Linked DNA regions of Caenorhabditis elegans. The protein of the gene in region 3 purifies or fractionates together with the protein of the main gene of each other region. This does not show direct contact. Each region holds a gene or a part of one and is shown on either strand. Other genes may lie near its edges.

Region 1 (7,543 bases), on a different chromosome or scaffold from region 3:
ACGAATCTGCCTGATGGTTTCAAAGTACACTGTGAATGAATCGGTGTCCATTGTTCTGAAATTTTCTTTGTTAGTTTAAGCTAAATTGTTTCAAACATCCAATAATACGATTTTTAAATTAAAAAAAAACGCTTTCCAATTTCCAAAAAAACAAGTCGAGTACATTTTAAAAAAACCAAAAGTTTCAGACAGCAGTGGCAGCATGTGATAAAACATCTGATATAACTTCTTATCAGTAATAAGTTACACACTGAAAGTGGAAAAAAATGCGAGATAAAAACCCGAAAATATCTGAGCACATTGAAAAAAGAAGCAAAATTCTTCCAGACGGATTATTGTATTATAGTTTTTCAGCCAGAGTTAATTGAATAGAGTGCTCGAGAGATTTTGATTGAAAAACCGTAGATTTCTAAATTTCAAAACTTCAAAACTTTGGTGCCACGAAAGCGGAAAAGCAAGGCATTTGCCATTTCGAGCTCCATCCGAGCAGAACTTTGTACTTTTTGCGCAAATCATGCTGAATCTCTATGGAAACAGAGAGAAACAGGTTATTATAGGCATGTAATGTGTAATCAGAGACCCTAGTTTTTGGAATTCGCAAAAGATCAGCATTAGTCTGAGAGCAAAATGTTGTTGAAACGTATTTTAAAATATCTAATCAAATTTGTTATGATGTTTTGAAACGGAAATAGAGTAGAATGATGTCACTTTGGGCTTCTGAGTTTTGTCTGATGAATTTCGGTTTTACGAAAATAAATTCATGAAAGTAGTGACGTTTAAGATACATTTTAACTTCAAATCTGCTCACAAAAAAAGATTTTTTGAAATTTTTACCAAATGTTTTCGTCCATAGATTTTAAAATACCTAAATCATTTGAAAACACGCAAGATACCTGATTATTAAAACTAAAATTTGACGGTGGTTTCATTGTTTCCAGCTGCTGCAACTTTGACAAGCCGGTCAAATTTCAAATTTTAACTAATTTTAGGCCATTTTTTCGAGCCGTCATAACTTTTTTTTGAGAAGTTTTCAAGAAGTTTCATTACAAAATTCGGTGTTTTCAGACAATTTTCAGTCTAATGAAAGCAATAAAAAATTGGACTACACCACCTTTAATAGAAATCATTTTTCAAGAGGAACATAAAAATTCACAAAGTTTCAAAACTCAAACATTTTACTGTCGCGATTTATAATCATAAAAAGCTTCTGAAAAAAGTGTGTCGTTTCAAAATCGATCTACCGGTTTCAATTGATAAAATAACGTGAAATTCCATCAACTTTAATAAATACATTTCAAACATTTAAAAATACAATTTTATCTATTTTAAAATGAAAATGGAAATTTTTCAATCACAAAATAAATCTCAAATCACAATGTTTCATAAAACAACACGTGGCATGGCGAGTATATAATTGTTTAAAAACGTACAATTATTCACGGAAATAATTGGGAAAGTACAATGAAGTTATTGAATTAAAACTATGGTGTAGAGATTGCTGAAAACTGAGATCTAGGATGTTGTTGGAAGCTAATATGTACTTCAAATCAGAAAAATCCTGCTTAAACATGCTTATAGAAATGAATACGGAGTTTGGCTGAATTGGCTGTTAAGTAAGATGCTCACATCTGGAAAAGGGGCTGGATTTGCTGAAAACACAAGTTATCAATGCAATTGGCATATTTCAGTCAAACCTGTCGCTGGTGTAGGTAACTGAAAGAGCAATTGTTGCGCCAGCTCCAAATTTGGAGCAACCACAGGAAGCGGTGCAATATTCTGAGCCGTTAATTGTGCTAAAAGTAGATTTAGTAAAGCTGGGTCGAATGTTGTTAGATCTGGGAGAGTATTGGTTGATAAGTTGTGCAAATTCATTGTTGGAATTGGAATGTGAAATTGAGGCAATTGAGTCACGGCTGGTGCTGCTGAAACTATAGAAAATGGGTTAGGCAAACAAATTTTTAATGATTGGAAAATTCTAGTACACAGTCTAAGCACAAAATTGACATTTTAAACTATAACTCTTGCTTGACTGAGTATTTTGAAATGTTGGTCCATTTTGTAGATTATTAGTCAGGCTGAAAAAATTTTTCAAAAATTTACTCCGAATCGGTTAATTTGGAATGACTTAAATCGTCTCAATTATGCAAATGATGCAAAATAAGTGAATTTTACAAAATATAGAGCATGCTAGGGCTTCCATCTCGGCGCCGATTTGTCGTCTTCGCCGGCCGGTGAGGCGCTTCAAACAACCTTACGCCGCCACTAACGTCGCAATGAATCGGCTTGTATAGTGCGGCGCGGAACCCCGAATCTGTCGGAGGCTTCCGAAGAACTGCTTTTCACACCACGTTGCGCAAAACAGCGTTGCGCAAAACTACGGTGTGCAGTCGTTAATTGATCACTACGCAGACACCGGAGTTCACGCCAAAATGTACATTGCGGCGACAGGAGTAGACTGGCCGGCGTGAGGCGCCGACGCCGCGCCGACGCCGCGCCGACGCCGCGCCGTTTTCACATACAGTAAACTAGCGTTTTTTTAGTTAAACTAGAACACGGCCTGTCGGGAAATGATTAAAACCCTATTTTATGATATTTTATGATATAATATGTACTTAAAAAAAGTAAAAATTAAAATAAGATTATTACAATTTTTAGTCATTTTAGCACTATAAAAATGCGTTCAATTATCTCTCCACAGACCAAAGTCCAGTTTTAAACAGAAAATTATTTATAAATGGGTATCATCTACATTTTTGTTATACCAATACAAGCTACATATGTAAATACACATAATTAATAAATTTACCATTAGCAGTATTAATCCCGCTTTGCAAGCAGAAATCGTTCGGAATACCATTGACAAAATTTGGTATATTATCCAATAATGCTGTAGTTTCATTTTGTATCCTGAAAGCGACTTGATCTTCTTCACATTTTTTATACAATGCATTAAAAATGGTCCTCTTGTCCTCAATGTCTTTTGTGGCTTGTTTCTGATAGCTTCTTGTTGATTTTAGTATGCAATCTTTTATTGAAGCAGACTGCTCTGACGTTGTTGGCTCTTCTCTGAATAGTTGAGGCATGGGTTCTGGTGAAAACTGATTAATATTTTCAAGTCTCAGTTCGTTAGTGAATGGACCAGCGAGATACGGTGGTTTGTCATCTGCCGTTTTTTCTGTTACTTGTGGTTTGACAGACGAGCGTAATGGTGGAAGAACCGGCATGCTTGTTCCGTATAACAACTGCATTAGAGCCCCCTGGCAGTCGGTGTTTCGCAAGTTTGATGGTAATGCTTTCAGAATGTAGTCAACCGGTTCAGATTCAAATTTTTGCCGCTTTTGAGAATGATCAATCTCCTCTGTGATGTTTCTTTTTTGTATGTTTGCCGGATTTTTCAGTGGGAGAGATGTAGAGAGAACCGAATAGTTCTGGCTTTCAAATGAACTGGGAAGGAACGGTGCTCGGAATTCGTGCTCTTTTTGCTTTGCATTTTTTGCTAGTTTCAAAATATCGTTGTCTATAACAATTGTGCCATAATCCGTCCGAGCAACCACCTTAGCCGTTTCTGAAATAATGTTAATCTCAGAATGGATTAGCTGAAGGTATTTGTTTTTGATGTTTTTAGACCATTATTTGTAGTTTCAGATTATCCTACCGTAATCCAAAGAGTTTCAACAACATAATATAGGAAACTGCTAGATTAAAAAGATAACTAAAAACCTAAACTATAACGGGAAACTGTAATAAGTTTGGTGATAAATCGTGAAAGAATTATATTGTTGAAGGCCTTCTTTTGTTGAATTTAGCGCTCGGAACTTAAAATGTATCTAGCAGAAAGTTTTTTTGAATGAAGGACACACGTGGTGTCAGAGTGTCAAATTGTGGTTTGATCTACAAAAAATGCGGGAATTTTTCCCCGAGGAAAGTGTGACGTCAGCAAACTCTGCGAAATTAGTGGAAAAGTCTGCATTTTTTGAAGATCAAACCAAAATGGAACACTTTGACACCACGTGAGGACGGAAATTGAACTGTTTTCGTAATAAAATTATGTTTCTAAAGAAATTTCTCAACGACAAACTTTGAACATTGCTAGATATATTAAAATATGATTTACTTTTTTTAAAAATTTATTCAACTATTCAGATTAAAAGTCATATTTATTTTCATCTTTAAATTTAGAAATTACGCTTTTTTAGGTCTGAGAATCAGACAAAAGTTCCCACGGTTTTATATAAAAATTAACCTTTCAAATATAGGGATTACTTATTGAAAAAAAAAATTTCAATAAGGACTGAGGCGGAGTAAGTTCAGGAATTTACAAAATCCTAAAAAAAACTTTCCTAATACAACTTTATCAGATGAAATTGTTTAACAATTTGTGACAGAACTAACCTTTATTTCCCGACATCATTGACATTTTCTGCATATCCGAAATCATGTTGGACACTCTGAGTTTGGAAGACTCCGAATTGGATCGTTTTCTGTGATCGGTCGATGAATCTTCAAAGGGAAAAAGACTGCAGGACATTTATTGAGCTCAACCCTGAAAGCGCAATTTGTTTTGATTTCGAATCACGTGAGACAATGTCCGTGAGAGTAAACATGGTCGAAATGTTTTGTAGGTACGTGAGAAACAACATGTGAACTAGTCAGTCAAAACAACGTCTGAGCCCAATGATAATGTAGAATTGTTGAAGCGGATCAAGAAGGAGATTACTAGAGACTAAGATCAAGAAACAAACATTTTGAATGAGAGGAAATAAGACGGATTTGGTCTGCAAAAGGGGGAGGACAACAAGACAACTCTGCTTTCTAAAATCATAGGCTTCAACATCAAAATGAGGGGGCTCGTACGCATATAGCATTAACGTGACTTCTCTAATGAGATATCGCACAAAACCTAAACAATTATCATTATCGCCATCAGATAGTCAACTGATTTTCAACTGACATCAAAAGTCACATTGATAGACTGGTGGCTCACAACAGAATTGTGACTTTGAGTTTCCAATTTAGAAATCGCACGAATTTTGAATTATTATCACTATATTAGTCAGTTCACTTTGTCTCTGGAGAAAAGTAGATCACTGTGATATTTGAACCATCGAATATCACAAGAACGAACAGTTGAACTATGTAAAACAACTAGCAGAGATATGAGAAATTTGATCAAGAGATGGTACAATAATTTTTTGAAAATGTCATCAATTTAAAACTAGATGTGTTAAAATGACGTAGTGTTTATGTAGGTGGGAAAACACTAAAATATGGAGTTTAAAACGAAAGGATTTAAGGACGATCCGTTCTTCAAGTGCTATGCACTGCGGACCTGGGATTCAGATGCACTGCTTGCTGGTGATTCCACTGGACTATAATTTAAGCCGCGTCCTAGCCGGGGACTGTGGCCGATAATCCAGTCGTGGATTGCTCCACTTCCGAAAATAAGCTGGGTGGTGAAACTGGAAGAACTTAGGGAGTGAGGTCGGACTTGAACTCTTGACCTCCAGATTGCTAGCGGCCACCACTACCGACTGAGCTATCTGTTCCCCTGGGCCCAACTTGAAACTTTAATTTCAATTCACCCTAATACATTTTAATACTTTGTTTATTTTAGTCTCATTTTTTAAAAGAATTTAACATTACTTAGCATCTGAGTTCAAAAAAATTACGTGAAGTTTAGCGCGTCAACAAAATCTGGGTCTAGTTTTTAAACCCTACCGCAGTTGAATAATCAAGGTTTGAGAAACATTGCACATTTTTTATAGAACCCACAAAACCAAACATTTTTTGTAATTCTGCAATAAAGTTTTTTGGCTTTTATTTGGTGATCTATTCAATTATAGAACTGTTTTTTGTTATTCTGTTAACAACCAGAAAATGAGTTCGCTAGGACATTTCTGCTTCATGATTAAAACTTGAAATAAAGCTAGATTAATGAGAAGGAACCAAATATCCTGACACAAGAAAGTTTCAACCTTTGGCATTTAGCTATTGCAAAATTTATTTACTTCAATAATCTACTTCAATGATTTAAAAAAAAAAATTAAAAATTCCCCACATTTTAGAACTCCAAAAAGTACATAAATAACAATTTTCAAGGAATATAGGAACACTGAAATTTTATATTTTTTATTTGAAGGTGGGCTATCGAAATTTGAGACTTAGTTTTTTTTGGACCCGAAATGTTCCAAAGCTACCAAATTTTGTAATAAGACGTTCTGAAAAATTCTCAAAAAAAAAGTTATGGTCGCTCAAAGTTTTGGAAAAAACAGTATATTTTTAGCTAAAATCTCAAATTTTGGCAATTTTTCAGTGTCTCAGCGATTGTAACTAGCGGCCATAACTTTTTTTTGAGAAATTTTCAGAACGTCTCATTACGAAATGCGGTAGTTTTGAAACATTTCGGGTCCAAAAAGCAAATTCTCAAATTTCGGTACTCCACCTCTAATGTCGGAAATTAAAAACTTCAAAAAATTTGACAAACCGTTATATATATATTTTTTTCTCAAAGCAAGCATTTTTTAAAATAATTTTATTTGAATAGATCTTTCAATTGCCAACCAGAATCCTGTGCCATTTGTAGTTTTATGAAACGATTTGCATGTTGTTGAAGAATTCTTTCTCAAAACATATAATTTTTGTGAAGTAAATGTGACAAGACACTACATCTATAATTCTGTGATTTACAACCTTAATAATGTTTTGTTGTCGATTCTGCCCCTTACAGGTTTATCCCGACAATTTTACAGTACTCTAATATATATGGTTTTCCATTGAATAGCCCACTATTCTTAACCAATATCCGTACTGTTGTGTTGTACAATTATTATCTCTTTATTACATTTTGTTCCATTCAAATCCGTTCAGTATTCGCTAAGATATCAATCACCATATATATATATATTTGTATTCAAACCGCGCGCCACCAGCTTATGGTAGCGCCTTCGCGGCGAGACCCATTGCGTCTCTAACTACTTGGCGCCGTGCCAACTTCACCGCCACCCGCGAGTTAACAACTTGTTTGTTACAGAATTGGTGAAATACGATGCTGATGATATGTTGTTGATGCCGTTATTCTTATCAGAATACTTCTAATCCTTATTAATACCAACATCCACAACATATCACACCTTCTATATCCACACGCATTATTTTCCAGCGTGAATTACATCTCAAACCCCTATTTGAATTATATATTTCTGAATTGACCCACATTTACCTTCGTATTGATTGAGAGGGTCTTTACACCAACACCAACAAAATTTAATACCATCTTCTATTGTTCCTTATTGTATTTCCCTCCTTTTACTTGTTTTATCCTATTTAGAATCCTGCGTTACCCAAAAAATAGATTGGCATACCAAAAAACAGATTGGCATACCAAAAAATAGATTGGCATACCAAAAAAAAGATTGACATACCAAAAAATAAATTGGCATACCAAAAAACAGATTGACATACCAAAAAATAGATTGGCATACCAAAAAATAGATTGACATACCAAAAAATAGATTGGCATACCAAAAAACAGATTGGCATACCA
Region 2 (6,037 bases), on a different chromosome or scaffold from region 3:
GTCGTTCAAGACTTTTCCAGTTATCTGAAGTCGTTCTTAAACCAATTTCAAGAGTATGTTCAAAATTCCCAATACCATTGATAATTGAGATGGTCATTCGTCTTTCCGCAATCATCTAGAAATGATAATCCCGCAGATACTGATTCACTTTCTCTCTTTTCACTGTATGACTTTTATCATGTTTGATTTTAACGATTTCGATGGGAATGAACTTTCTTACAAATTTTCGAATTGTTAGCACTTTGAAAACTGTTTACGAAAAACTGAAAATTGAATGAAGAAAATAATTAAAACTGTGCTTCCAGAAAAACTTCGAGATTTTATAATACTTTAATCACTTTTAAACTTGTTAGAAAACATTGGCTCTGTTCGCGGAACTTGAAGGACTTACCGAAAGAATTTTGAACTGATGTATCTACAACCAATATAGGCAAAACCAATAAATAACAAAATACTATTACTGTTTTAATTTCCTTATTGCACCCCATGCAATATTTTCATCCCGATAGCCTCATGGAATTCAAGATTTGTACTTTCACCGCAACCAACAATTTTGATTTGCCGCGAGACAGTTTCTCAACAATCAATCTATATTTTTTTCATAATTTCCGTTCTTCCTTCCCACACTTGCTTCTTCTTTCTTTTCTGTCAAAACCATCGTTTTCTTTCTCTACAACCTACCAATTTCGTACTACTTTTAAACCGTAATTGACTATTTTTGGTAGGAAAACAATATGGTTGAACAATGGCAATAACTAAAACTTCAAGTTTTTATCAATTGTAACTTTGGAAGCCGAACAAAACAGTTTCTACAAGTTTTTTATCTTAATAGTAATGTTTTAATATATTAGTATTTTGATTTTTGAAAGCAAATGAAAGCATACAATAATAATAAAAATTTCTCAAAATTGTTTGTTCTGAATAAAGATTTTTTGTATGCTTTAACAGAAATCTCAATGACACCACTCCAATCAGTTCTCTAAAGATCATTACAATCTTTCCGGAAAAACCAAATAAAATGTTTCAGAGGTGTAAATAACTCCATGGACAGCAGAAATAACGAACGTTTATCAAAAAGAGGTTGTCACTTGTTCACTAAAACTTTTAATTAAATCTTGATATTTTCAGTTTATGCAGAAGGCGAGCCAGCATCCAAGCGACATTGCTCACAACTTTCCGAGAAATCATCGAGATATTCCAAACCATTTAACGGTCAGCTAGAGGAGAAGAACAAAGTACAACCAGCGAAACGAAATGCTCCACAAGACAACTTGTCTGCTCAAATATACGTGAGAAAGCTCGCAGTGTTTTGATATTTTGGACTGTGTGACTTTTCAATAATTTTTTTTTTCAACAATGGAACGAAAATGTTCAACTTCATAATAAAATTTGCATTATTTTATAAAATCTAATTATCAACCTATTGTCTCTTCATCATTCTGAGTCTTCTTTGAAGCAACTTCTTGCGCCATTTCCTCTCGAAATCTTGGAAATCATGCATTCGGTTAGCGTAGGCATCGGCGGCAGCAGTATCAGATCCTCTTAAATTTCAAAAACTTAACAGTAAGTACACACATTTTGAATTTTTTCACCATACCTTTCTGGGTCAACATAGTTTTGAGAAGCTGAATTTGGATGATGATGTGCTCTGTGACTTGGCATGTGGGATGGGGCAGATCCGTCTCCGTATTCTGGAGCATTTACTGAGCGGCCGGCGTCGGCGACAGCGTTATTTCTGAAAATTTACATTACAAACTTTCTAGAGGTGTTATCATTCAACTCACTGCTCATCTCCATATTGTTGCTGATGGGAAGGTCTAAGACGATGGCTTTTGCGATGTTGATGTGGTGCTGGAGCATCTACCTCAGAAGCAGCGGCAGAATCAGAAGCTCCAGAATGTGGAAGGTGAGCTGGAGCAGATCCGTCAGCGTATTCTGGGTGAGCAAGTGGACGAGATGGAGCAGCTGGTCTTTGCATGTTAGAATATCCGGCAGTTGGGGTGAATGGTGTTGGGAACATTTCAGTGAGAATCGGTTGAACTCCGCAGTCAGATGGACAGTATGAGGCTGGCATTCCAGGATCTCCTGGTGGACCTGCTGGACCTTCCATTCCATATCCACCCATCTTTCCTGTCTTTCCAATGCCTCCGATATCTCCTGGCTGACCTGGTTGTCCTGGTTGATTTGATCCTTTTCCTGATGGCCCTGGTGGTCCTTTCATTCCCTGTGGTCCTGGTGGTCCGAGTGGACCCTTAATTCCGACTCCAGCAACAACGGTGTCTCCTGGTGGACCATATGGTCCAAGTGGTCCACGTTCTCCCTTTGGTCCAGGTGGTCCGGGCAGGCCTGGTCCTCCATCAACACCTTCCATTCCAATAGTTCCCTGCATTCCAGCCATTCCTGGATTTCCAGTCATACCACGTTCTCCTTGAGCACCACGTGGTCCCGGTGGTCCAGCCGGACAAATGACGCAAGGAAGTTCTGGCTCCGATTCTGGCTGAATGTCAAATCCATCATCTCCTGAACGTCCTTGTCTTCCGGCATCTCCTGGCTGACCGTCTGGTCCTGGTGCTCCTGGTGGTCCAGGTGGTCCTTGTGGGCATGATAGTAAAAAGCATCCTTTACAGAATGCTCCACCCATCCAGTTGCTTCTCGCTTTTCTCGAGAAATATTGAATTCCCGGAACTGCGTCACCCTGTTTAATCTCCATCAATTCATTCCAAACGAGATCGGATTTAGCCTGCAAATAACAAGTTGATTGAGCATATTCACACGAACAAAAAAAAGTGCGTTACCTTTATTCCGTCAGAAAACGAAGAAATCTCGAGGAGTACGTTATCCGATTTATGGAAGAGCATTGGCACTGAGAAAACAGCAACCACCAACGTAAACGTCGATAGGACGATCGACGCAACGGCGACGTCGTAGAAATCCCGCATGATGGGAAAATAAGAAAAGGAAATGTGGAGAAAAAAGTTCTAGTGAAGCTGCATTCCATCCGGATACTTATAAGCAGCGGATATAGGTCAGTGGGTAAAACTCGATAAGGCGCGATTAGGCTTTTCTTTTTTCGGGGTCATTTCATCATGGAATCATTTCTCCTCTTGAACACTTTCGGTTTTTCCTTATCGCGCGACCGCGAAAAATGAGACACCGACTGCATAACTTTCTAATTTGTCTCATCGTTTGATGATGAAAGCGAATGAGAATGCGATCATATGGGGTACATTTTGAATCATGAGAACCTTGTTAGAAAATACTTCGTGAGCAAATAACATACAAAAAATTTAGAGAAACATATTTTTCATTTGGAGAAGATTAAAAACAAAAATATTTGAAAAAAGGGCCTTTAAATTAGGAGCCTACAAGAATTTTAGCAGCAGAGGAACGCATTCAGCTTGAACAAAGGATTTGAAATTTTTTTCGCTGATTTTGTTAAACTAGGTTAGAGACTCATAAAATCTCCTGTTATGTGAATTTTTGCAGACTTTTTTTTTATTAAGAATCAATACCATGTACCATGTATCAATACATGTACCAACTAATCAACTTTTCAGATGATAATTCATTTTCTGTATGTTTATTATTTTTCTGTATGTTCATTATCGTATGTTTATTATGTTTATTATCACGATTTCAATCGTAATAAATTCAATTCAATTCAATTCAATAGATGCATTCTGTTAGTATCATTATATGTAGTCTTTTGTAGTCTTCTAGTTTTTAGAGTAAGAGTAACTGATCAAGATGTTCTTGCTATATTATGTTAATGTTGTTTTGCTCTACTTTTGAATGTGGATTTTTTTTTGTTGACCTAGGTACATTTAAAATTGATAGATAAAAAATATAACTAAAAAGACAGGTTTTATAACCGATGGGAAATTGTATTTGTGAGATTCGGTATATTCATTCTGGCGGTTTTATTCTAATTAGTTGCTTTAAAGTTTTTAAATCAAAATATTATAAGGTATTCCATGAGAAAAATAGTCGTCATTTAATGAATAGAATCACAAAAAGTTAGGGCGACGTTGAACATCCGTCAGCATTCTCAGTTCAATTCTTTGCTTTTTTGCTCTTGACGTCATTGGAGTTGTTGTCGTCAGATTGGGAGTATATGAGAGACTGGAAAATAAGACGAATTTCATAATCCGCTGTGAAAAGATTAGTGAAGAAAAAATGTGAAAATTTTCTCAGACGATACTAATATACTAATATTCTATAACATTCTACGTCACAAGTGTTTGCTATTACCTTTCCGAGACCTTCAAAACTGAGGCATAGATCATTGACACCAGTGACATGATCGTCCCCAATATCTGAATCCATGCTTGGCATCTTGATTATGTTGTCCTCTTGGAACGTGCGTAAAAGTCGTTTATCGTTAGTTTTCAGCTCAACGCATGAACGAGTTTTTCCAAGATCTCCAAGTTTCATATGTTTCTTCACGTTTGGACGCTCACCGATACTATCGAAAGTAGCTGAAATAGAATTTCCAAGTCTCGGTTGGCTGCTAACATTGTGTGCGGATCACTTACGATGCTCAGGAATTGAGCTCACTGAGCACTGGCTTTTCGGAGAGCTATCGCTGCTGTCCTTCTTACGGCTCGCCATGCTGTTGAGTTTCTTGCGAATGTCGAACTCGCTCGAAGACTTTGGCATCACTGAAAATATCACAAATATCACTAGGAATAGTTGAAATGAAGCTCCTGGTTAGCTAAAAAGTTAATCACTTAAAAACATGGAAAACGAATATAGCGCGGTTCAGACATCTTGATAGTTTTCCTTGCTAATAATCACCAAGTAACATGTGAGGGTGGAAAAAAAAAGAAGATTTCCGTTTTGATTTTGAATTGCTTCGTGGTGTTTTAAGAACCGGAAATAAAACAGGAAATTGAATTGAACAAAAAAATTGAGTCAAAACATCTGACACATTTGTGAGTTTGATACTATCAAATTTAGAGGTTTAACGGTACGGAGCCTTAGAGTACCGAAATCTGAGACTTTAGACTTTTAGACCCAAAATCGCCCCTTAATACCTAATTTCGTAAGGAAACATTTCGAAAATCATTTTTTGGTGTAAATTTTGTCGGTTCAAAGTTTTGGAAAAGGCAGGTTTTCAACTAATCGCTCAATTTTTTTCTAAAACTGTGAACTGCCAAAACTTTTTTAAAAAAATTTCCAGAACGTCTCATTGCCAAACTCGGTAGTTTTGAGCTAACGTGGAGTTTAAAATAGGCTAAGATTTTGGTATTTCACCTTTAATTCTGAAGAAAAAAGCTAAATAATGAAAAATAAAAGAGAAAACCTATGTGATATTCTGTTAGAAGAAACAAACAAGCAGTTGTGAAGGCAGCGAGCTGTCTCTTCCCCTATATTTTCCTATCTTCTCATTGAAACCGTCTAATTAGCGTGGGAGAATGTACATGGTGATATTTCACGAAAAGTAGGAGACGGAAATTGGAAATAACAAAAAACATAGAAAAAACTATACCTCTGTCGATTTCAGTCTTATCGAGAAGAGTAACTCGCGCTTTTCTGTTGAAACCACGGTGGGGAGCAATTGGGCTACTGCCCTCCATTTGTATGTCACCTGAAAATGATAAATGATCGAATAGGAGTGAAGATATTATGTCATATGTCAGCCTGAATCAGGTGACAACGTCGCATTACACGCGTATTCAAAACACTAATGAGTCAACCAAGAGCAGCGCCCTTTCGTAAAGTCTACATCGCATATTCAAAAGTCTATTCAATAGTTTATAATAAACTAAAAAATGTCGCCCGTATTTGGAAATCGTCGTGTAAATAAGATATAAGAAGCCATTTTTGTCAATTTTTTCTGTTTTCTTGGTTTAGGTTGTTCTTGAAAAACAATTGCACTAATAATACTCAAAATGATGATGATGCTCAACGAAAATGTTGAGATGTATATTTTCAATCTTGAATTCTCATCCTAAATATCAAATTCGTAAGAACAAAACTAGAAATAGGTAATCATATAGTAAACTACATTTTGAAGAGAAAAGATGCTGAGGGC
Region 3 (8,865 bases):
CAGATCCGATGTTCACCGAGTTGTAGCACTGCCCATTGACCATTGTTTGACCCGCCAAGCATCCATTGTTTCCATTTGAACTGCAGGTATCTGAAGTTGAAGTTGGAAAGTAGGAATAGGAAAATGAGATTCTTACTAGAATTGGTGTTGGGACAGCAGGCACCATTGTTACACGTGTATCCAGACGCACACTGTGTGTTTGTAGAGCAGGTCACAACTTGGCCAGATGCAGACACTTGGGGGCTTGAATTGGATCCACATTCTGGAAATATTTGGGATATGTAATTTGGAAGTTGAACTGGTGAAATTGCTCGGATAGAAGATTGATTTCAAATATCGAGGCTCCGTGCTTTAAGTGAATGGATCACTGTAGAGGAAATCTACCGTATTCCGTGTACACTAAAATTGCAGCCAAACTCACGTGTATTTGTCGAATAACAACATATGTAGTTATTGTAGGTACTAGCATATTGACATATTGTCCCAAAACGAGAAGATCCCGACGAAGAATAACAACTGCACGCGTCCTGTGGGGTACATGTCTGCAATTACAGAAAATTGCAACAGAGTTGAAATTTGGAAAAAAATACCAGTGGTTGATTGAAGTTGGAGTTGGAAAAGAGGGGAGTTAGACCAGGTGGGCATTGGGAAACCACTGAAAATCATATTTTGAGATGCTTTCTCTATAGTTTTGAACTTTTTAAAAATTAATCAGTACGAAGTTGTTTGAAAACTTTTGTACCTCGAACAGTCTTTGGTAGTTCGGGAAAATTTGCTTTCAATTTTATAGAAAGTAAGTATTTTTGAACATAAAGTGAATTAAAAAGGTTTAAAAATTTAATTTTATTTCGGCTTATTTTAGTTTTTATTAACTATTCAACAATTTTTCTAGTTATCAATTTTTAAATTGATTTTGTAGAAAAAAACTTAGATTTTTTGTTCTGGTATATTTTTCAATTTTTAGAGATCCGAGATTCTTTTACATTTTTTTCTTCTGAAAATCGAGATTTAGCAAATAACTCAATTTACCTGAAATCACAAAAATCTGCAAAAGTAGAAAAAACAAGCAAATCATGATGGGGGGAGGCACACGTTTGAGCAGTTTGTGCCAAATAAATGAAATAATATTTGACTCTTTGGGGCTCTCTGAGCAAGTCTCTTCCATTTGTTTATCCACCTGCCTTTGTGAGTTTTTTGGGACGGTTTTTTTTGTGAAATTTCACGATAGAGTGTTGAAATGGGTGAATTCATTTGAAAAATCACACGGGAAATATCAAAATACGAAAAAAAAAAAAATAAGAATAGTTCAAGAATACCAAAAAAATATTCACAATCAGAAATCAACATTAAAAGTTGCTGGAACATCGCCTGAAAGTAGTTTTTTTCAGTTAAAATCTAAAAAAAGAACAAAAGACAAGGAATGTGTGGGGCCTAGGCCTGACAACATTTTATTTCGGCACTGTGAGAATCATGTCAAAATGTAGAAAATAAGTATTATTTAAACTTATAGATAGGCATGAAGAAAGGTACCTGATGTACTATTGAAATACTATTGCTAATAGGCTCCGCCCACATCTTGGATTTTCCCTTATTTTCATTAAATATGCTTCCACCACTAAAACAAATTATGACAGTAATCAATCAATAATATACAAAAAAACAGTATATACAATTTAGCATATGTCACTTCGCTGCTGGATTTTCTGCAATCAAACATTCAATGCACGCTGACAATTGCTCGTACGTGATTTTTGTCACTTTTTGGTCTGAAATCTTTGAGATATTTTTAAATAACTTTTCAAATCCCCAACCTTTTTGATATCCATTAATATGAGATTGCACCAAAACCGGACGAAAATCCGAGAAACCCAAATTCATTTGAATTTCCTCTGGTGACTCGGCAGCCAACTTTCTCAAGTGAGTTTTCATCTGAACCGCATCATTTTCCCGCCCAAGCAAGTTTTTTCGAAACATTTCAACAAGTCTTCTTTGATGGTTCATTGATGTTGAAATTGTTTCCTTATCAGTTACTACTAGTATTCGATGAATTTGATTCAAAATCGTCAGTACTGGATCTTGAATCTGGCGGAGTACATTACTACTGACTGTCAGACCATCGGATTGCTTTGAGACTTTGAGCTCTGTGGAGGAAGAGCTTCGAGCCGGATGTTCAGTAGAGCATGTTTGAACACGACGACGACTTGGAATTGCAGATGGAGCTGATGGAAACATGACACTGTACTTGTCAGTGATGCGTGGAAGGCATACAATACTGGAAGGACGTGGCGTCTCCCCGGCTGACATTGAGTGATTCCGACCTGAGAAAATGTTTATATGAAAATATATGAGCAGAAAAAGCTCAAGTATTTCCATTTTTGCCGTTCCCAAATTTCAGATTTAGAACTAAAAAAAATCTGAGATTGTGTTTATCAAAAAATTCTGAAAATTTATTATTAACGTTTTTGTTTCATTTTGAAGTTTCAAGGTTTTAACTAACTCCCAAAAATTTCAGCTTTTTTGAAAAATACTCACGTGGCGCTGGATTAATTGGTGGCAGCTTTCCACTCCCTGATGTCTTTGACGACCTTCCAGGACGTTTATAGGAACTTGTGGAGGAATTCAGGGAGGATGGGGATTCATCGATTTTGATATTATAACTAGATTGTGAAGCAGTCATATCTGAAGTACTTGCTTGTTGACGTGCCACATCGTCAAGATATTCAAGAAGACGGACTCCGCACATTCCAGATACTTTCAAGATGTCTGGTCTGGCAGAAGGATCTGGTGCCAGGCAGGAAGTTATGAGAAATCGAAGATCGTCACTCCACATTTCATTTAACGGGTCGTACTTTGCTTCGACTATTTGCATGGCTAGAGTTAGCATATTTGTTGAATGAAATACCGGTTGGAGTTGACACATTTCATAGATACAGCAACCTGAACATTCATGGATTAGTAACTGGACCATAGTATCTCTTAGTTAACAGTAACCCTGAGATATTACAACGCTACCAATACACTAGTATGATTTCCCTGTTAACACAGCAATTTTTGGGCACATGAGCCCCACAGTAAGAACTCACCAAATGACCAAATGTCCGCTTTCTCTCCATATGGCAAATTCTGTACAATTTCCGGACAACTATAGATAATGGTACCCGCCGCCGATTTCAGATATTCTGGGCCTTTTTGCTTTGCCAGCCCAAAATCAGTTATCACCACTCGCTCGTCTGTCGTCATCATTATGTTATTTGGCTTTAAGTCTCGATGTACAATTTGCTTTTCTTTGTGCAAATAGCGAAGGGCTAACATCATCTGAAAGATTATAAAAGCTTATGAGATTTTTTATAAATATTTAAAAGCTATTTTCAATCTGAGTCTAAAAAAATGTAAAAAATCAAGTCGATGCACAATGTTTTGGGTGCTATAGAAATTAAATAATTATAAAAAAGTTACCTGTACAACCATAGCCCAAATCTTTTTTTCTTCAAAATTTCCTTTCTTCTCCTTCATTGTAATAATTAAGTCACGAAGTGAGCACCCTTGAATCAAATCCATCACAATATACAATCGATGATTCTCTACGAAAATTCGCCGATACCGAACAATATTCGGATGCCTCAACTGTTGTTTAATAATCTTCACTTCACTAATCATATCACCAAAACTTTTATCAGATTCCCTGTCGTTCAAATTCGTCATGAATATCTCCTTGAGTGCAAGTAGTTTAGCCGGGTTTTCCGAATGACTCTGTGCCTTCTTTCGAACTGTGTACACACATCCGAATGCTCCGGCTCCCAGCTGATCAAGAAGTTCGTATTCGCCAACTTCTCCAACTGCCTGTCTTCGTTCATTTACAGTTTCCCAGTCTTTCATTATTTCAATATTCTCTTCCTGTAAATTTATAAATTTCTGTGATTTTTTTATTGAGATTTCATATTTTCCAACAAAAATAACAAGATTTCGAAATTTTTTTCCAAGTTTCAGATTTTAATTACAAAAAACTTACAATAAGATTATCGTACATTTTGGCAATTTGATCGTAATCCGTAAGAACACTATTATAATTTCCAACATCCACAAATTTTTCGAAAATTTCTGTGGGTAACACCTTCTTCAGCAACTGACGGGATCTTTCAAAAGTGTACATTAACCGTAGAACCCGGAAGATCGAACATTGGAGTAAATCCCAAGAATCTATAGTTTCATCTGTAGTAACATTCTTCTTGATAGCCAATAATTTCCCCAAAATATAAACTCCGTTCGCGTTAGACATCAATTGTTGATTACTACTCGCTTGCGCTAATTGAGCCAGAAGAGCCGTGAGCCCTGTGAGCATGGCCACCCAGTCCCCCACAGCTTTTCCAGGTGGTTTTGGGTTGGAAATGGCGGCAAAGATCAAACTTATTCCGCCGAGTTGTGCTATTTCTAAGGACGTTTCATGTTGCTCGGCAAGTTGGGCTAAGGTCCATGCCACGTGCCATTGTAGACGGGAATTTTTGATGGAAAGGAGTCCGAGGAGAGTTGGGACACCGTCATAGATTCGGATTTGTTCTCGGGCCTGTTCTTCGCAGGATAGAATTCGAAGAAGGCTTATGCAGAGTCTGAAAATTCAAAAATCGAGTTGCAGCAGACGTTTTACGGGCGAAATTTATCTAGAGTGTTGGCTAGTTGTTCGGTATGCCCCAGGAGGTGCCGGTCACTTGTTACGCGCTACTAGAAATTATCGACTACTACATAGTTTTGCTCTTGAAATCCCGTAAGACGTCCGCCGCTAGGTTTTCATGTAAATCCCGTCATGTATCGGCTGCTAGTTGTTTCATACTCCTATAGTGCAGGTTGCTAGCTATGTCATGTTAGACCCCAGAAATGTCGGCTGCTATAAGTCGTGAAATGTCTGCTGCCACCTACTTTTGCGTTAAAATATCCCCATCTGGTATGAGCTGAAGGCACACGTCAATCGTATTTGATTCACACAAATTCTCCCGACAAGTTGTGGACCAATCGGAGAGTCTTCCGAGAATCTGAAAATGATTATTAATTTTATTGATTTTTCAGCCACCAACTAACCTCCAACGAATGCTGAAGCACTGTCATTTGCCGCGTGGCAAGCAGCACAAGGACAGCGTCTTCCAAATTACAGTCCACGAACTTGCGCGCATTCTCCCCGTTATCGATTAGTTTTTGTGTTACATCTGAAACAAAAAATATTTATTGAAATTCTCTGAAAATTGAACATACTCAAACAGTTAACCACAGTGACATTCCAGTCGTGTTCACTGCGAAGAAATCTGGACGCAATGAATTGGAACGTCTGAAATTTGCAATTTCGGTAAGATTTTGTCTGATATGTCAGGTTTCTCCAAAATACCTGAACGAATTCCGAGTGTAGATTAACCGAGTGAAACGTCGCAATTCGTGTCTTGTCCCTGAACAAAGTTCGCGCCAATCGAAAAATAAGAAAAACCCATTTTTTGGCCGGCCGGCTTTCGATGAATTCTCTGAAAATTAAAATCGAAAAATGTCGGATGTTAAGATGGTTATTGCGGCCGACACAATATGGGATCATCAGGTTAATAATCCAGTAGTGTGTGGGCTGCTTGAAAAATATTCTGGATTGTGGAGATGAGCCGATGCATCACGAGACGAGTTCTCTTACCTGCAACATATCCGGTTTCTAATTAGATTTGTGGATAGTTCGTGGATTGAAAGACTGTCTAAGTTGTTTTCCAACTGCTCTTCTCTGAAAAATCATCGATAAAATATTGGCGGTTAAAATTCAATCGACAAAATAAAAGCCCCGTAATATGTCGACTGCTTATTTTATGAAAAACGTTCTATAAAACGCCGAATAATGTTAGCTCCAAAGGCGCTCTGACCCATTATTTGTCGGCTGTAAGGTAACGTCTGACACCTTCTGGTGTCGTAAAATTAGCAAGCAGCCGATACTTTCCAGGTGCCCTCAGAAAACCAAAAACTCACAGAAACGTAGTTAGCAGCTCACATTCAATCCGTGCATAGCCAATATCACCAAGTTTGAATAATGATAGAGATTCTAAAAGTTTCTGGCCAACCTCCTCTGTCATCTCATTTCTGCAAAAATTCAGAAATTCCTTGAAATTTGCCAAAAAGAATCAATGCACAAAAGAAGCAAGAAACTCTTCAAAAGAAAAAGAGATTCAGAGAAGAAGCACGTTTCCATGTCGAAATTCTTTCAGTGAGAGGAAGTGGGAGAGCACAAGAGCACAGAGAACAGGAGAGCATGTCTCCATTGACAACTCGAAAAACTGCTGGGCTCCGTGAGCACATACACATATATATGCACATAATTCGATTCCTCTTGACGTACTTTCACGGTTGGGAAATTGAAGGTTTCTTGACGTGGAAAGTTTGGGAATTTCAGTTTTGGGTCACTTGTGACGAGAATAGAAGGTCGAAATGCTGAAAATAGAACCAAACTAGAGTTATTTAATGTTTGAACATTTGAGTAAAATGTTGAGTTTTTTCAGAATTTAAAAACTGTATTCCAAAAATCTTTATGACCGCCGAATTCAAGCAGAAAAAGTCATACATTTAAGAGCACAATTTGTGACTGAATGGAATAGACCATTTACCGTATTTCTTCTATTAATATGGCTGCAATACTATTTTTCGATGGTCTTCCCGCTTGCAATACTATTAGGGAGTGCAAGTCTAATAGGGAGGCCATATTAATAGAAGATATACGGCATATGCAAAATTAGTAGATTTTCCAAACTTTGAAAATTAATATCTGGCTTCAAATTAACTTTTTCAGAAATTCCCGTAGCCATTTTGTTGCAAATTTAATGCTCTTTCAGAATTAAAAAAACCGCGTTCCAAAAACGTTCATAACCGCCGAATTCAAGCAGAAAAAGTGAATTTTCAGTCATACCTTTTAGAGCACAATTTGAGATTGGCTTGTTAATTTTCAAAGTTTGGAAAATCTACTAGTTTTGCATATAAATTGTCTATTCCATTCAATCTCAAAATGTGCTCTAAAAGGTATGACTGAAAATGCACATTTTCTGCTTGAATTCGGCGGGTATGAAAGATTTTGGAATATCGTTTTTAAATTCTGAAAGAACACAAAATTTGCAACATAATGGCTATGGAAATTTTTGAAAAAGTTAGTTTGAAGCCAGATATTAATTTTCAAAGTTTTGAAAATCCACTAATTTTGTATTGGCAGAAAAAAAGAAAATTATAAAATTAATCTAATTTTCTGCCAACTAACGGAATAGAAAACCGTTTCATTTTCCTGCAAATAATAATATTCAGAGAAGAGGATATTGGCAACGTCCCGCTGAGTTATTGTACTTTCTTGCGCACATACACCCCTTTCCACTGGCTTCTCCATCTCGGTTTGTCTCTTTGGCAATGCCTGAACTTATTGAAGATTTTGAAAATATTTTTCAATTTCGTTTCTTATACCTAGTTTATCAGAAAATTGCCACGTGGTCCAACCTCCCATTTATTCCTAATTTTCAACCGAAACGGATCAGAATTTCAATGAAATAGTTTTCAAAGTGTACTTTCGAGATCATCGTCCTCGACATGAATTAGTCGGCGTCTTCCTTTTCTTCTTCTTCACATTTTTCCTCTTACTCATCCTCAAAACTTCTTCAAATCTGACCTTGTGTTTTTAGGCGCGCACCCAGTCGTCATCCAGCTACTTACTCTCTAGAGATCCTCATTTTGCTTTTCAATATAACCCGACCTACAGCCACCACTCAACCTATTTTAGCAAATTTTCGTTTGGTTTCGGAGAGTGAGAGTGCTAGTTTTAGTTGAACAATTTTCAGAATTGTATTATCATTCCACTTTAATGGACTTCAAAGGATGACAAAGTTGTCTAACTTACCGATTCTAGGCCACCTCGAAAACCGACAAAATTTTAATTCCTGGCCTTATTTTCTGATTCTCGGTCACCGCTTCACAACATGGATTTTCAAACGTCAGGATATTTTTCAAATATTTTACGAACTAAACTCTTCCAGTTGAATTTTTGAATGCCAGGTCACATTGTGAAGATTCGACGTTCTGAATTAGTTTTAGAAGACCACTTCGAACTCTTTATCAATTTGGCGACTGACTGCAAAAACTTTAATGGTCTAGGCCATGTCTCCAAATTCCATGGAATGATATTTTCAATGACCCAGTTTATTAAGTATAACTATCAGACTCTTTCGATGTACCATGTCCTTTTCTGAAAAGCTTTTCGTTTTGCTACATGGCCGCGGAAAAGGAAAACTCGTTCACCAATTCATGGTCACCTCCACTACTTCCCGAACACTTTGATTATTGATAAAGCCACAAAAAACCATTTTGTCACTTTTTGCGCCGTCCAAAACACTTTCCCATCAAATTACCTTTTCCTCCTCCACCTCCTCCGATGCTTCTCCCAGGCTTTTCCTCGAAGCATATTGCAACACACTGTTTCGCAATTAGTTCGGTCATTGATTGAGTCACTCATTCTTTCTCTCTCAGTCACTCATTATTCTAATTCACGCTACCGTCACCGCCACAGTCTGGGGCGTTGTCATGTTCACATGCGTCCTAGCGGCATCCCCTCCAAGTGCCTTCCTGCCAACTGGTCGATGTCTAATCCTCTCTAAAGTCTGTAATCTTGACGTGTGAGTCGATTAGCTTCTTCTCTACTGTTTTCCGACGGTTTCACTGTTCTTCGGCAAAACCGTCCGTGCGCGTTTTTGTTTTTTTCTGGTATTGTTTGTTTCTTTAGGAATAGTTTCTAAATTTGCTCTACAAAACTAGGGTGTCGTCGTTTCCCTATATTTGCCACGTGGCCGACATTTTGGAAAACTCTTCCGTGGCGCAAAAAATAAA
Region 4 (7,274 bases), 2.9 Mb from region 3:
AGATTCAGGACCACGTGAAACATTTGGCTGCTTTCTTGATGTTCGATCCAAATTAATTTGTTGACCTTTTTCGAGAAGTTGCTCCTCGAGCAACATATCTGACCACATGTTTTTCGACTTTTTTGCCGGTTCCTGGAAATTTTTTTAATATTTTTCAATAATTATTTACAATTTTCGGGTATTTTTCTTTGTTTCAAAAAATTATATTAATCGTATTTTCTATTTAAAAAATGAAATTAATTTTTTTCCGATTTTTTAATTAATAAATTGATAATTTCTGATTTAGCTTTAAAAAAAATCAAATTTTCGGTCTATTTTCTTAATTTTTGAGAGAAACTTAAGCTTTGAAAATTTGAAAATAATTTTTTCAAAGTAGAAATTTCTCTCAAAAAAATTAGAAAATAGACCGAAAATTAGATTTTTGATTATTTTTAACACTAAATCAAAATTATCAATTTATTAATTAAAACATTGAGAAAAAAATAATTAAAACCGGTTTTTTTTAATAGAATGTTTTTTTATTTTACTCTTCAGTTCCTGTTATTTGTATAACTCTTTTTTTCAGTTTTTTTTTGAGTGAAATTCAATAAAGCTAGTTTTTAAGCGCTTTTTTCGAATTTTTTCAAGTTTTTAATCGAAAAATCGCCAAAAAAATTGAGGAAAATTGCTAAAATTTTATCGGAAATACATTTTTTAAGAAAAATCTTTTTTTTTTTCAAAAAATTGAGTAAGAATGTAAAAAATGGATATTTTCTCAGAATTTTGAAGACAAAAGTAGCTTTTTGCCGATTTTTCGATTAAAAATTGAAAAAAAAAAGTTTTGATTTTTTCTGAAAAGAAACTGTTCTAAAAAATTTTTATTTTCTGAAAAATCCGAAAAAAGTGCTTAAAATCTTGTTTTATTGAATTTTTTACAAAAAAGTTTCAAAATTTCGTCAAAAATAGTTTTTTTTAAGAGAAAATCCGAATTGTGAAACTTTTTCTTGATTTTTTCGGTTTTTTTTTAATCAAAAATCGAAATTTGTTACGAAAATGGTTAGTTTTTGCCAATTTTTTCATTTTCAAGGTAGAAAATCCCCGATTTTCAGCCAAAAATCGTGCTCCTTACAGCTTTCAGATCCTCATCTTCATCTTTATTGATCGGAAGTCTCTCTTCATCGGAATCTCCTTCCGAATCGTGACGACGCTTACGGAATGCCATTCTGAAATTTTTTTTTTCTGAAAATCTGAAAAATATTTTGGAACTTATGTATAAAAAAGGTAAAAACCCTTTAAAAATGCAAAAAAAAATATAATAAAATATAATTATTTACAGTTTCACATTTATTCGAAACGAAAATAAGACGCCGTATAAAAATGTCGATTTACGCGGCTCGTGAACTCCCCGAAGTGAAGGGAACTTTTTTTTGGAAAAATCCGATTTTTTTTTTGAAAAAAACTCTTGCTAAAATCCGCAATTTTTATGGAAAATTTTGAGAATTTTCAGGAAATTCGGCGAATTTTTTTTTGAGACTTCTTAGTGAAAAATCCTCAATTTTTTGAATTTTCCCAAAAAAAAACCAGTGATTTTTGAGAATTTCAAAGAGAACACCGCGGTTTTATTGAATTTTTTCAGAATTTTCAAAAAAACGCAAATTTTCAAGTTTTTTGAAAGAAATATCTGAAATATCTCTATTTGAATAATTTATTTTTCAAAATTTTCGAAAAACCTGGAATTTTTTGAAATTTCCAGAAAACCGCAATTTTATTGATTTTTTTCTAGAAAAATATCGTAAAAAACGGATAATTGCAGATTTTCGCGGAAAAAATTTTCAATAATTTTATCAAAAAATTTTTTCCCATAAAAACTGCAATTTTTTTTTAATTCTCAAAATAATCCGCCGAAAATTGCCAATTCTGCAATTTTTCCATTCAAAAAATGCAGATTTTTCAAAATTTTTCGCCTTCTCCTCGTGAAGTACACAAGCCGCGTAAATCGACACATGCGGGAGCTAGGAATCCCGCGTAAAAGTAGAGATCTACAATATAATTTATCCTTTATTGTGCATATTTCCCCATCCACGTCGATGATCATCCTTATATTCATCCCAACGCATCGCCTTCGCTCTCGCCTCGTCATCATCAACCTCTTCTTCGGATTCTTGAGCTTCTGCCCCGGCTGGAGCCGACGATTGTGGAGCATTTTGTGGATTATGACCGAATTTCTGATGATACCATTCATCGACACTCATCGCTGGAATTCCTGGATATCCGAGCCCAAAGACCTGCTTCTGTTGAGCATCTCTGGTAATAATGAAGGGTTTAAGTGTTGGAACTGTCTTTGTTGCTGGTGGTGGAGCTGGATGACGATGTGGGTGAGATGCTCGTTCAGCCATCATTTTCAGCAGTGGAAGCTCGTCTGAAAATTGTTTTCCGTTTTTAAAAACGTCGCTTTCTGCTCTAAAAGGCTTAAAAGGCTTGGCCATGAAGAACTGAAAATTATTCAAAACTCGAAAAATTCAATTTTTCAGGGTCATTTTGAGGCTCTAAAAACTATTAAAAAACTTTTTTACTGACAGAAAATTAAAAAATTTGCAAAAAATAAAAATAATAATTAACTTATTATTTAAATTTTTTTTATTTTTTTGTTTAAAAAAATTTCGAATTTTCAATTATTCAAAAATTGGAAAAAAATTAGACAATTAACAGGAAAATTCATTTCTTTTATCAAATGTGGTTTATTTTGATTTGAAAAATCAGAAAATATATAGTTTTCTTCTACAAACAAAAAAATGACCAAAATACGACCAAATCGGAGATTTTAGCTAAATTTTGGACTTTTTTCTTGTTTGTAGAAAAAAAATGATATATTTTCTGAAGTTTTTCATCAAAATAAATTTTTTTTTCGATTTTTGAATAATTAATTTTTTTAATTCAAAAATCGAAAAAAAAATTTAGATTTATTTTGATGAAAAACTTTAGAAAATATATCTTTTTTTTCTACAAACAAGAAAAAAGTCCAAAATTTAGCGGAAATCTCCGATTTGGTCGTGATTTGATCATTTTTTTGTTTGTAGAAGAAAACTATATATTTTCTGATTTTTCAAATCAAAATAAACCAGATTTGATAAAAGAAATGAATTTTCCTGTTAATTGTCTAATTTTTTTCCAATTTTTGAATAATTGAAAATTCGAAATTTTTTTTACAACTTTCTAATTTTAAAGGAGTTTTGCAAAAATTTAAAAAATGAGTTAATTATTATTTTTCCTTTTTTTGCTTTTTTTTTAATTGTCTGTGGGTAAAAACGAATTTTATAGCTCTTAGAGCCTCAAAATGACCCTGAAAATTGAATTTTTCGATTTTTTAAAATAATAGTTTAAAAAAATTACAAAAAATCTTTAAAAAGCAGCGTCGCACAGAAAAATAGTTTTTTTCTCGAATAAAAGATCATAATTTGAACATATTTGCTGTTTTTCTGTGTTTTGGTTACCATTCGTCTGGAAACATCGTTAAATTAATGAAAAAATGTGCGAAATCCGGAAGTTTAGCTAAATTTAGCCATTTTTCTCCTTATTTTCCATGAAATTCGGCATTTCGAAGCCATTTTGAGCATTTTTAGAGCAACAAAACGATTTTTCAAGCAAAAATTCCAGTTTTCTTCGAGTTCTCAGAAAAAAAATATGATAACATTGCGTTTTTCTGCCAGAAAATCACATTAATTCCGATTTTTCGTGATTTTTAAAAATAATTTTTCCATGGAAACTAGGCGATATTCTACACACCATCAATCGCCTGCAACTCCTCGTAACATCTTTCACTCCAGAACAATAACTGAGTAATATAGAGCTCTCTGAGATTCTGCTCATCAATTGAAACGGCTTCCAGCTGCTTTTGGATCCTGAGCTCCGCCATTTTGAGCTCTTGCTTCTTCTTGTGACGCTCCAACTTCAATCTTCTGATCTCTTCAACTGCAAGCTTCGGCTTCTCCTTTAAATTTTGCTCTTCTGTATCCTCATCTTCCCATGGTAATCTGGTGGTGATCAGGCACAAATCTCGGAGGCGATCCAGAAAATTTCGCATATAAATTTTGGATTTTCTCAGTTCGTCGAGCTTCAGGCCGGGCTCAGTCATCAAATTTTGGTGGAGAATTCCCAAAAAACATGGGACAAGGAGATAGGGCAGCGAGTTTGTTGGAACGTCTTCAATCTGAAAAAAAATCATTTAATTTCAGAAATAATCTTTTTTTTTTTCGATAAAAAACCTGCTCATTCGACGAAAACAATCTCATCTGATTCACAAGCTTCGTGACCAACTGGAGATTATCAATTCCCGTTTTGATGCGAGGTTGGAGCTCCGGGGTGGAAAAAATCCCATCTTCAATATCGCCGATCACCTTTTTGCTCGGATCGTAAAGCGCTTGCAAGGAAATTTCTTCATCTGATAGCTCTGACATGCTCTGAAATTTAAATAATCAATTTTTAATTGAACAAACGAGGAAAAATTCAGGTTTCGCAGAGAAAACCCGTTTTCAGTGAGCGAAAATTTTTCAATAAACAAAACGAAAATAGAAAACACCCGATTTGACGACACTTGTGCAAACACCCTCACGCAATATTGCACAGATTTCTGAAAAAACAATTTTTTGTTTTTTTCTGGAACACATTTTACAACTTTTCAGACGGAATTTTCGGTTTTTTATCGAAATTTATGGAGAAAACGTTCAAAAAAACTCAAATTTGCTTGTTTTTAAAGGGTTTTTATGGGAAATCGTGTCATTTTTCCTTTAACAACGGAAAAACAATTCAAACACTGTCAAAATGACCAAAAATCATATTTAATAAAACGTTCAAAATGTTTCGGAAAACGCTTTATTTCGAGTCAAAAAGTGGAGAAACTCGTTTTTTTGAAAGTCTTCGATTATGGCCGCAGAGGCTCAAAAAGTGGCGCAAAATCACTTTTCCCGCGCGAAATTTGAAAAATTATCTCAAAAAAGAAGAAAATCGCCGAAAATTTAGTCTAAAAAATTGGCTTTATTGGAAAAAAATTAAAACATCAAAATCCAATTATTTAATAGACTTTATCGTTCTTGAGCAGCTTCTCCGGGAAGCATCTCTTGAGGCACTCAACAGTGAAGCAGCAGACATCATCCTTCGGGAATTCCTTGTACGAGCAGTTGTTCTTCATGGCACAGCACGCGGATTTGTAGGTGCTATCTGAAATTAATTATGAATCTTTTGAAACAAAACACAAAAAATCAATAAATAAAAAAACTTACAATCCTCAACAGTGCATGGGGATTGCTCCAAGCCGTAACGGCAGAACATATTCATATATTTATCGAAATTCTTGCATGACGAGGCGAAGGAAACGAGGAGAACGAGGAAAATCAAGGCGATCCGCATTCCGGCGGCAGACTGGCTCGGAGCTTTGGAGCTTTGGAGCTTGAGAGCTTTGAGCCGGCTTCCGATGGAACAGCTGACTAACTTTTTACTCACTTTTTCATCAATGTGTCAGTTGTCGGTTTTATTTTTGAAAGTTTTTATTCAACAAACCAAAACATCAAAAAAACATTCAAACGCTCAAGGACGAATTACGATTAACATTTAACAACAAGAAAAATATTTAAATATTTTTTTTAATAGGAAAATTTTAATTTTTATAGGAAAAATTCCCTATGACATTTCCTTCACAATATTATGCACCGCCTGGCTCCGCATCACGCTGGTGTGCGCCGAATCAACCTGGAAAACATTTATTAGATTTGAAAAAAAGAGCTCAAGGGGGCTCAGAGTCCCTCTTATATTTAAATGGAAGAGTTTTCAGCTTGGGAAGCTCGGCCGCGACGCAGCTGCATGCGGAGCGGCTCAGACGAACACATTGATTTTATCATTTTCTGGTAGAAAAAAAAACAGAATCAACGTTTTTGCCTGAGCCGCTCCGCGCGCTGCTGCGTCGCGGCCGAGCTTCCCAAAACTCTGCCATTTCAAGGGACATCCCGCGTTACTAGAGCTTGAAAACCCATAAATCACCCACCAAAAGCAGTGGTTTCAGAGCAGATCTCAGTGAATTAAACAAGTCGGGGAAGATGAGCTCCTGCTGAGCCAGGAGCTGCTTGACACGGTGACGTTCGGTGGCCTGGTTGAAGCATGCCGGGCAGTTTTCCGCGACAACTGGGAGTTCTGGAAAATTATTTATTTGGAGATAAATTCAAAAAAAAAATCGCTGAAAATACTTTTATCCTCGGCGAAATTTCGTAGAGCCTTCTCGCGAACCATCACCAGCGGTCGAATGACTCGAAGAGCTCCGTCTCTGGAAAAAAATTGAAATTCCTTTTGAAATCGACGTGAAAACGCGCTCCACGGACAATTGGTAACGCTCCGCCCCCAACAGTTGGGTCTCGTTAGGAAAATTTTCAATTTTCCATCGATTTTATTGATTTTTTCGTCGAACTTATGTTATTTTATAAATTTCGGCATAAAAATTTATTAAACTAATGAAAAACGTGACAAAAACATTTGAATTTAAAGTTTTGTCTACAAATACCTAACGAGACCCGCCTGTTGGGGGCGGAGCGTATTTTTCTGGAAAATATACGATTTTTCAGTGTTTTCCAGGAAAGATCAAGTTATTTTCCCAATTTTTTGTTTTTTTGAACACGGTAGTCATTACTGTAGTTTTCGCTGCGAGATATTCTGCACAACACATTTGACGCGTAAAATATCTCGCAGCGAAAACTACAGTAATCACTACTGTAAGTGTGGATTTACGAGCTGCCGCCAAGCCCCGTAAATCGACACCTACAGTAGTCATTACTGTAGTTTTCGCTGCGAGATATTTTGCGCGTCAAATGTGTTGTGCAATACGCATTCTCAGGATTTTGAGTTCAAAACATTTGGAAAATATTTCGATTTTATCGTAAATTTTCCATAAAAATCCGCCCCCAAGAGTCGGGTCTCGTTAGGTATTTGGTGGCAAATCAATCTTTTTTCATTTTCGGTGAATTTTTGAAAGGAAAATCTTAAACATCGACTGATTTTTGGTGTTTCTACCTGAAAAACAACGAAATTTAGATTAATTTCAGGATTTTCGTCTCAAAAAACTCGAACAAAAATCGATTTTTCTAATTTTCAGTACTAACTTCGTCGTATACTGAGCCTTCATCGTGCTCAAATTTCCATTCTGAAAAGCGGCAATGAAGAAGCTTTCAGCAAGATCATCCAAATGTTGTCCCATCGCCAGAACATTCCATCCGTGTAATTGTGCGGCGGCGGCGAGTCGGCCACGCTTCATTCGA

What was found.
Region 1: the proteins of nekl-4 (region 3) and Y7A5A.7 fractionate together in Caenorhabditis elegans (co-fractionation; one large-scale study listed by BioGRID). This does not show direct contact.
Region 2: the proteins of nekl-4 (region 3) and dpy-8 fractionate together in Caenorhabditis elegans (co-fractionation; one large-scale study listed by BioGRID). This does not show direct contact.
Region 4: the proteins of nekl-4 (region 3) and ppfr-4 fractionate together in Caenorhabditis elegans (co-fractionation; one large-scale study listed by BioGRID). This does not show direct contact.

The regions. Positions count from the first base shown.
Region 1 is NC_003284.9:15,799,645-15,807,187, forward strand, and holds Y7A5A.7 (PPP1R35_C domain-containing protein), read right to left. Parts: upstream 4,529-7,543; coding exon 4,393-4,528; intron 3,566-4,392; coding exon 2,807-3,565; intron 1,923-2,806; coding exon 1,666-1,922; downstream 1-1,665. Other genes in the region: Y7A5A.6 (DUF5082 domain-containing protein), read right to left, coding at 1-51.
Region 2 is NC_003284.9:5,147,494-5,153,530, forward strand, and holds dpy-8 (Nematode cuticle collagen N-terminal domain-containing protein), read right to left. Parts: upstream 2,984-6,037; 5' UTR 2,940-2,983; coding exon 2,796-2,939; intron 2,741-2,795; coding exon 1,785-2,740; intron 1,736-1,784; coding exon 1,598-1,735; intron 1,542-1,597; coding exon 1,421-1,541; 3' UTR 1,314-1,420; downstream 1-1,313. Other genes in the region: C31H2.14 (Ovule protein), read left to right, coding at 1,044-1,080, 1,129-1,313; C31H2.3 (uncharacterized protein), read right to left, coding at 4,054-4,122, 4,252-4,478, 4,536-4,661, 5,492-5,579.
Region 3 is NC_003281.10:5,511,438-5,520,302, forward strand, and holds nekl-4 (Serine/threonine-protein kinase D1044.8), read right to left. Parts: upstream 6,087-8,865; coding exon 5,983-6,086; intron 5,744-5,982; coding exon 5,660-5,743; intron 5,502-5,659; coding exon 5,242-5,501; intron 5,196-5,241; coding exon 5,071-5,195; intron 5,025-5,070; coding exon 4,912-5,024; exon of another isoform or gene 4,680-4,911; intron 4,605-4,679; coding exon 4,010-4,604; intron 3,895-4,009; coding exon 3,457-3,894; intron 3,316-3,456; coding exon 3,084-3,315; intron 2,938-3,083; coding exon 2,533-2,937; intron 2,319-2,532; coding exon 1,812-2,318; intron 1,767-1,811; coding exon 1,684-1,766; 3' UTR 1,475-1,683; downstream 1-1,474. Other genes in the region: pqn-25 (Prion-like-(Q/N-rich) domain-bearing protein 25), read right to left, coding at 1-90, 137-262, 422-542, 591-655, 1,030-1,165.
Region 4 is NC_003281.10:2,617,098-2,624,371, reverse strand, and holds ppfr-4 (Serine/threonine-protein phosphatase 4 regulatory subunit ppfr-4), read right to left. Parts: upstream 4,437-7,274; 5' UTR 4,434-4,436; coding exon 4,242-4,433; intron 4,187-4,241; coding exon 3,763-4,186; intron 2,399-3,762; coding exon 2,031-2,398; 3' UTR 1,663-2,030; downstream 1-1,662. Other genes in the region: Y71H2B.2 (Phosphorylated adapter RNA export protein), read right to left, coding at 1-132, 1,109-1,201; Y71H2B.4 (Lipoprotein), read right to left, coding at 5,048-5,193, 5,256-5,382; Y71H2B.5 (Aminotran_5 domain-containing protein), read right to left, coding at 5,653-5,721, 6,014-6,159, 6,213-6,289, 7,119-7,274. UniProt on the Caenorhabditis elegans protein: Probable regulatory subunit of serine/threonine-protein phosphatase PP4 which may play a role in meiosis and embryonic mitosis.